Diceros bicornis minor: one gene and its partner. The protein of the gene in region 2 interacts with the protein of the main gene of each other region in a pairwise test. Links are inferred from orthologs where the notes say so. Each region holds a gene or a part of one and is shown on either strand. Other genes may lie near its edges.

What was found.
Region 1: the proteins of DCX (region 2) and ZBTB5 interact in binary tests that used the Homo sapiens proteins (3 or more experiments, as listed by UniProt). The two-hybrid records come from large-scale screens. The link is inferred for Diceros bicornis minor from reciprocal best matches to the Homo sapiens genes DCX and ZBTB5.

The regions. Positions count from the first base shown.
Region 1 is NC_080767.1:6,499,631-6,503,541, reverse strand, and holds the start of ZBTB5 (zinc finger and BTB domain-containing protein 5), read right to left. Parts: upstream 2,870-3,911; 5' UTR 2,787-2,869; intron 2,682-2,786; exon of another isoform or gene 2,083-2,681; intron 2,077-2,082; exon of another isoform or gene 1,460-2,076; intron 1-1,459. UniProt on the Homo sapiens protein: May be involved in transcriptional regulation.
Region 2 is NC_080781.1:103,378,821-103,382,731, forward strand, and holds the start of DCX (neuronal migration protein doublecortin), read right to left. Parts: upstream 2,617-3,911; 5' UTR 2,567-2,616; intron 2,449-2,566; exon of another isoform or gene 2,386-2,448; intron 841-2,385; 5' UTR 819-840; coding exon 455-818; intron 1-454. UniProt on the Homo sapiens protein: Microtubule-associated protein required for initial steps of neuronal dispersion and cortex lamination during cerebral cortex development. May act by competing with the putative neuronal protein kinase DCLK1 in binding to a target protein.

The DNA of each region.
Region 1 (3,911 bases), on a different chromosome or scaffold from region 2:
AGACTACCAAGTAAAATTTCCAAAGAGCAGACTCACCACCCAATCATCCTTTAAAGTTTAAGGAAACAAAACACTATATTTGTTAATTTCCATTTATATAAGGAAAAAATTTCACTTCTGATAGGATTCCTTTCTATAACAAACTTTCTTCCGAGTACAAAGGCAAATTTGGAAAATTAATTAGTTAAAATTACAATGAATTAATTGGGTACAAAAGTCTCTCAAGTGTATCAAGTTTCATTAAATCTAAGATGCCAATGATTATAAAATGCAATATTATTTCACGTAACATTAGGAAAGAAAAAAAGTTGCTAATTAAGCTGGGGCATAATGCTAATTTATGGCATCCTGTCTTCAAGATTAAAATGTGAACAAAATGTGGTTTAGAATCCAGGAAATACTGGAACCTTAAACACTTTCAAATATGTTAGAAGATCAGAAGGAAAATTACCTACAGATAAAATAATCTTGGATACTAAGACAGTAATCTGTTTATGCCTACTATACTACAATAAAGTCATACTCCAACACAATTCCTAATCTGTTTGAGCTGTCAGAAATATAAATCAAAGCTTTCAGCAAATGTACGTAGAATTAATCAAATGAAAGTCACCCCCCAAAATTGAATGCTCAGAGTAAAGCCACTACTCAGTGATGAAAACAACTGTAAAGAGCAATAGTTCACTCAGAAACAGCTGGTCTTTCAGATATGAGAAGTTCACACTTAGACAAAACCTGCAGTGTAGTGTTACATTCCACTCCACCTGCTACACTAACACAAACTGGCTTTACTAGACAACATCTATATTTGAGAAGTGTTAAGTACAGTAAAAGAGAAATCATACACTTAAAACTGACAGAGGGGAAAAGTATTTGTTTACAACAAATTTACATTTAAAAAAAAATTGAAAGTTAACATGGAATCAATACCTTGGGTTTTTCTTTTCCCTTTCCAAGAAGAAATTGAGGCAGATTCAAGATTCTGTGCCAGCACTACAGCATGCTCTGTCATATCTCACTGTACACAAGATATTTTAAAGTCTTACCCACAATCAAGAACTCCAGTTCAATATAATTCATGCTAAGTACTTTAAATACTAAAACACTACATGCATTTTGTAGCCAAGTGATCTTTTTAAATACTTCAACTAGTGATGATCTTGTGCCAAAGTCTCTTTTGACAGCACTGATCCCTAAATTTAGAAAAACACCCCACTATAAGATGCTCTTCTTCCAAATTTCATCACTTTCAGAATTTTCCTAGAGACATCTCAATTATCCAGAATACAGCTTGCCAGTATCCCCAACCAACTATACTATGTTTTGATACAATTTTTAGGAGAAAAAAAAGCAAATCAAAAAATAAGTCGACTTCAGGACTCTTTAAAAAAAAAGTCCTGGCTCATTCATTCAGCAAAACCCAAGGGCCCAGAACAGGTCCCCAACCAGTGAGCCTTACCTGGCAGGTTACCAAGCTAGCTGCGGTGGCCAGGCCAGTCTTCCCAAGTTTGCTGGGATTTCCAGAGCGGGTTAAAGCAATCGTGGTAGGCCTGCCCTTGGTTTAGGGGCGTTTCTCTAAAATTCTCTTTCTCCTCCCCCGACCTGGTCTCTTCCCTCCGCCTCGGCTCTTGTAGCTTATTGCCAACCACCCTCACCACGGAAATCGCAATACTTCAGCAAATGAAAAGGAAACGAAGAGGAACCCAGCCCACCTTTTTTAAAGATCTAAGACACAAGGGCCCATACAAGGATGACAAACCATCAAAGACGACTAAGGCACAGCACTCTCTTCAACCTCTAAAGAAAGATCCCAATGTATGTAATATCTTCTACTTACTACAATTGAAAAGTATATTAACATATTTTGAAAAATTTTTGTTTCAGTTCTTGAAGGTGAAGGGTTTCTTCTATTCATTCTAATTATCCAGAACCCGAGCATACCACTTGGTCATCAAGACTTTACCTCAAAATTTTTCTCCCAATGAAATATTTAGGTGTGTCTCCTATTCAGAAATCAGCTTCTACAGTGCCCTCCACTACGCCAGAATTACCAATAACCTCTTTGGGAAGGAAGGAACTAACCTTCAACCCCCGGTACTCCACTGCCTTATGTACCGATGCACAACCCTGCCCGGCCTCCACACAAGGGACGGGCGGGAATGGCTGCGCCTCACCCCTGCACCCCCACGGCTCCCCGCCCGAGGCCCGTCGGTAGCGGGCAGTCAATAAACGCCCATCAACACTTCAGTCCTCGGACAAGTCCGGGCATTCCAAAACCCTGGCGCCACCCCTCCGCGGCGGCCACCGGTTCCCGATGCCTGGCTGCCTCGGCCTCACTCTGGTGATGAAACCTCGTCGCTCAAGGAGACCCAGGCTGGGGGCATGGGAGCCACCCGCCCCCATCCCGCAGCGGGACAGAGCCTCTCTTCACCGCGACAGGCTGCTGGTCCGCAGGCCTTTCCACCCCATCCCAGGAACCAACATCGCCCGCCCGCGGACCCGAGGGGGCCGAAGCCCCCGCCCCAGCCGGCAGGCAGACAGCCTGGCGTCGGGTCACGGGGGACGCCTGCGCAGAAGAACCCGCCGGGCCCCTCCGCCACGAAGGGTAACAATACCCCTCGTTAAGACAGGCAGGGCAGGCTGCGGACGACACCGGCACGCGTCCGCGCGCGACCCGAAACGTGACCCTGCCCCCGCCGCCCGCCCCGAGGCCCCGGAGCGCGACCGTCTCCACAGGAGCGCGCCCGCGCGCGCCACCGCCGCTCGCGCTGACAGACTCGCCTCACCTGAGCCGGGCTCCACCCCCCTTCTCGCTGGAGGAGGTGGTGACCCTTCTCCGACCCGACCCGACAGTGTCGGGAGCGGGGACGTCCAGGCTGGCGTCTCCGTGATGGGATTTCCTCCCCCTTCCGCCCACCTCCCCCCCCGCCCCCGGCCACCCCGCCTCTGTCCCCCAGCTCCTTCAGCCCGCTCGCCGCCGCACTCCGAGAACACCGCGGCAGCGGCCGACAGTAAACGGAAGTGACGCAACGCGAGATCGCCTACTCCTCCATTCCTCCGCCCCTCCGGCCGAGCTGCAACCAATCAGCAAGGGAGGGGGCGTGGCCGGGGCAGAAACGCAGCCAGCCGGCGCTCGGAATCCGGGGGTATTTGCTCGGCCCCCGGAACACTGACCAATCCACGGTCCCAGGAGCCTCCCTGTGTTTACTACCGACCGAATCCGCGAGCGCTGTGACCAATCACCGTTTGCCGTACAACACAAAACTGTCATCGAACGCCTCTTAAGGCGGGATTTATCACACCGGGTTTGGACTATACACGAGCGACTGTGTGCCGCCACCGATCAAACCCCGTTCTGGCTGAGGCAAGCGGGTTTTCCGCCTAAGTCCCCCAATCAGAATCACGGCTGCCTGAGGTCTGCGCGAGCCTGGAGGCGGGCCCCAGAGCAGTGCGTCCCACCAGTGGCTGGACCTGGAGGGTTTCCCCACCGTCGGCGCCCGGCCCTGCGGTGACCCCCGGCTCCCGGTCCCAGCGAGCTTTCTTCGGGGAGCCGGCACACGCACTCGGGTAGAGGTTCTGTTGCGACCTCGTAGACTTTGGAAAAAATTAAGTAAAATTCCAAGACGCTGTTTGTGTTGAATTAAGCCAAAATCCAGGCTACAAAAGGTGAACCCAAAACGCCGTCCGTCTGACGGCAGTTGGGTCCGCTCCGCCGCGCTTCCAGTCCCAGTGGCGGCGTCCCGAGGCGCCGGCGCCTGAGGAGTCTGACGGGCGGGCCCCGGCTCCCAGGCGGCGCGTCACTCCGCGTTCGGCGCCGCGGGTCTAACGAGCCTGCAGGCTCGAGAACCAAGCCTCCAAGACCACGTTGGAAACGTGGGGGGGTCGCGGACCTCGGTGGGACGCCGGCGAAA
Region 2 (3,911 bases):
CTTTTAGGGTGCATATTTCCATGAGTTGCAATTCACAAATAGTCTCTCAGCCGTTCAAAGGATATTTGGATATAATATTTTCTCTCTGTTAACCCAACTTAACTTCCTTCCTCAGTTTACGCCCATAATGATTTCATGGTCTGCCTCGATAGTGCTACTTAATTATGAACAAGGTCTAGAGTAAATGACACAATTCAGATTTTCCTTTGTAAACCCTGACAGATAAGCACAATGCATTATCACCACCATCTTACACTTCACTCCAGCAGAGACTGAAGGCCATGAAGGGTAATGGCTACTGGCTCTGTCGATACATAGAGAATCAGAAGTCTAAGCATCAACCTGGTGTTTTGACAAATGTATTTTCTAATTTCTGTCAATGAAATCCAAGAAATGTAACCAGAACCAATGTTGCCACCTCCCACCAAGGGCCACCACCCACTCTTTGAATTACCTTCCTCCAGTTCATCCATGCTTCCGATTTTCCTGGCTCCATCAATGGTGTAAATGTAACGCACTCCCTGAGGCAGGTTGATGTTGTCAGACAGAGATCGAGTCAGGTCAGCCAGCAAGGCGTCGAAGCTGCGAAAACGGTCAGAGGACACAGCGTACACAATCCCCTTGAAGTAGCGGTCCCCATTGCGGTAGAAACGTACCTTCTTGGCTTTCTTCTCGTTGCTCAGTGCCTGCAAGGTTCTGGTTCGGTAGAAGCTACAATGGGCGCTGTGAGTGGGGCTAGGGAGCCCATTCATCCGTGAGCCTCGCATGTTCCTGGATGTCTTATCTCTTTCGTCAAAATGTCCAAAATCAAGTTCCATATTTTGGTGGAACCTCAGAGACCTGAGTGTTGTAGAAAGGGGCGGGGGAGAGTGAAAAGAGGCAAAGAAAAAGGAGTGAGGAGGAAAAAAAACGAAAGGAATTCAAATATTAGCTAGATCCAGATCTGCAATCTGCTGCTTGTGAAAAGAACTGGTTGAAAAAAGCCCGTGACCCATCTGCTGCTTGCCCCTGACCTGCAGGAATATTGATCTTAATAGAGAAGAAGGAGGGGCTAGGGGGGTGCTATTGGTTGTGGGGGTTGGGGGTGAGTGATAGGGAAGGAGGCACTTTTGGCACTGTTCCAAACAGAGGAGCAGGAGGAATTTTGAAATAGCTTAAAATCTTGGGACTTACTGACAGTGGCTCCTATCAAATTGTGACTTCGGGCTAAATACATTAAAACTGGCATCTGTTTCCTCGCACATGCCCACATGGCTAACAGTTGTAAATGAATCCATAGCCTGACAAAATTCTCCTTGAAGAGAACAGAAGGAGCTAGCCAACGTTAGCATCTCCAGTTTAGGAAGCAATCTTTGCCTCTCAGTAAAATGACTATGAAGGCGAGTGTTTTAATTTTATTCCAAATCCTTTTTTCTACTCTAATGTGTGTGTCCCCTCCCCCCAGAATAAACTAGGATTCTCCTTTAAAGGGACAGCCTCCAGGGAATAGCCAGCATCTTTGTGCTATTCACCAAACCCTTTCCCCCACCAAGCTGGTGCAGCTATCCAACATTCATAAGCAATAAGCTGAAAAAAAGGATTAGAAAAATCCGTTAGTTAACAAGTTGTTAGCTCTGCTTTCCCCCGTTACCATTTGGTCACAAAATCATTTTCTTTTCTTTCCTTTTTTTTTTTTAGGCACTCGATTCCTCCCCACTGATGCAGCCGCACCTCTTAATGGAATAATTTAATTGTCGAAAGATTCCTAAATGAGTTCCTGAACAGCATATGGGACCTTTAGAAGCAAGCACACCTTTCATTGTTCTGCACTTCTACCCTGACTGAGGGGGCATTTTGCCCTCACGGCAGGCAATTCACCCCAAACTTCTGTATTGCCCAGGTGCATTGGCTGAAGCAAAAGATGGTCATCTGTCAGATTTGCTTTCCCCCCTTCTGCTGAGCCAAAAAAAAAAGAAAAAAAATCAAAACATGAAACCAAATGCAACAGAAGCTCCAAATGCTAGCAAAGGTAGTGACAGCCTAGGAACCAAACTATTAACATGCATCTCACAGATGGGGATAAAAGGACTCACAAAGAAAGCAGGGCTCAGCTGCTACACATTGCCACATTGAGATATTTGCAAGGGACCAGGAGGACAAAGGAGGACTGGTGCCTAGTCGCTTTGCCAGGCTTGGTCCCCCTTTTCTTCCAATGTCACCATGACCTGTGCTGAGCTCAGCGTTGTCTCTGTCAGACAACCTGCAGTGGTGAGAGACCCCACCTCCTCAAGACAAGTAGGAAGCATTTCCCCAGGCATGCCAGTAAAGCTCGGCTTTGCTTTAGGATCAGGGGTGGTGTTATTCTAAATCAACATCACGGTAAAAACAAAGCAACACCAAACTCACTTTTCCAAAGGAAAATCCCAGGAAGAGGCTTAGGAAAAAATCCGATAGAATAAGGCAAAGGGGGAAAAAAAAAAAAAAAAGGAGAAGCAGAGAAAGAGAGAGAGCGTGCACTTTGCCTTGTGCTTTTCCCGTTTGACATCTGTTACATTCTGCCTGAAAATCACTTGAAAGCCCCACTCACCGGTTTTCTGCTGGTTGGGTGGAGATGCTGAGAGAAAGAAAACCAATCTCTCTATGCCTTTGTTGTCTGAGCTCCAAGCAAGAAATTCCTGCCAGGGTGGATAGATGCCTTCTAGGTCCTAGTGCCTTGTCTAGTTCTCCCCTATAACTCAGGTTTAGTGAATCCCCCAACCTCCTATGATTAATTACACTCTTTTTTTTTTTTTTCAACTCACAGGCTGCGTTAACAGCTAGAAAGGTTTCATTTATAACCAACAGGAAATTGCAGGGTAGCAAAAAGATTGCACAGGCAAGTTCAGAATGCTCTACTGAGCAATGTGCTAGCCTTTTCTTTTAGGGAATTGGCAATTTCACTTGGCCAAACAAAACCTTGGCCTAATCTGCCTGGGGGCCAGACTCAGACAGTCAAACCAGTCTTCTTAGAAATTCTAGCTCTCTTCCTTTCACCTTCTTGAAAGAAAACAATCAAATCTGCAAATTCTTTAAGGCATTTTAATTCATGCATCCAACTGGATGTTTTTGAAATGAAATCAGTGGAGTAGACTAAGAGGGAGTAGGAAACTGACGAGATAAGGGAAAAGAGTTCCAGAATTTCATGGAAGGTGGAGCTGCAAAAGAATCCTAAAGACCTTTTAGCTTGGTATAATAACTTGGTTAATGGGATATGCAACGTTTCAAAACCAACCCAGAGACCTTTCTAGGTGAAGTAAGTCTGATGGCTACAAGATAAATATTAATGGCTCTCTCCTCAAACTACCTATTTGTTACCAATTTGCTTCTTTATATCCAATAGGTTATAATAAGAGCAAGGAAGCATCCAAATTGAATTCATTAAATCAAACCGAACTATAAGACAAAAGAAGAGAAAAGTGAGAGACTAGAGTAGAGGTGCGCTCCCACCCTCACAACTGAGGCTACAGCCATTAAAATGTAGCAATCTTAAACTATCATGGTTCCATTTTTCGCTAATAGCATGCTCAGTAATTACCTCGTATCTGATTCCTAGTACAATTAACCCTCTTTTTTATATATAGCTGTTGATGATTTATAGTTAAACACTTTTCTGTGCATGTGTTTTACTGTAAGCTGCCTCAAAGTGGAAGGTGTTGGCTCAGCAAAGCCTAAGCTATCTATGATAGTTGAGTGGTCAGCCTCAAGTGTGAAACCTGCTCAGTCAAGTCCTCTGAACACCTTGTTGCTGCTCTCCTAGTTTCTAAATAAGTAGCTCAGGGGACTACATGCTTCTGCCCTGTTCTCTTCCATTTGTTTCTGCCTCATATTGTGGCCAGCTCTTGAAAAATCAGGGTTTTTTAGATCAGAGGCAGAGAAATATCAATGAACAGGAG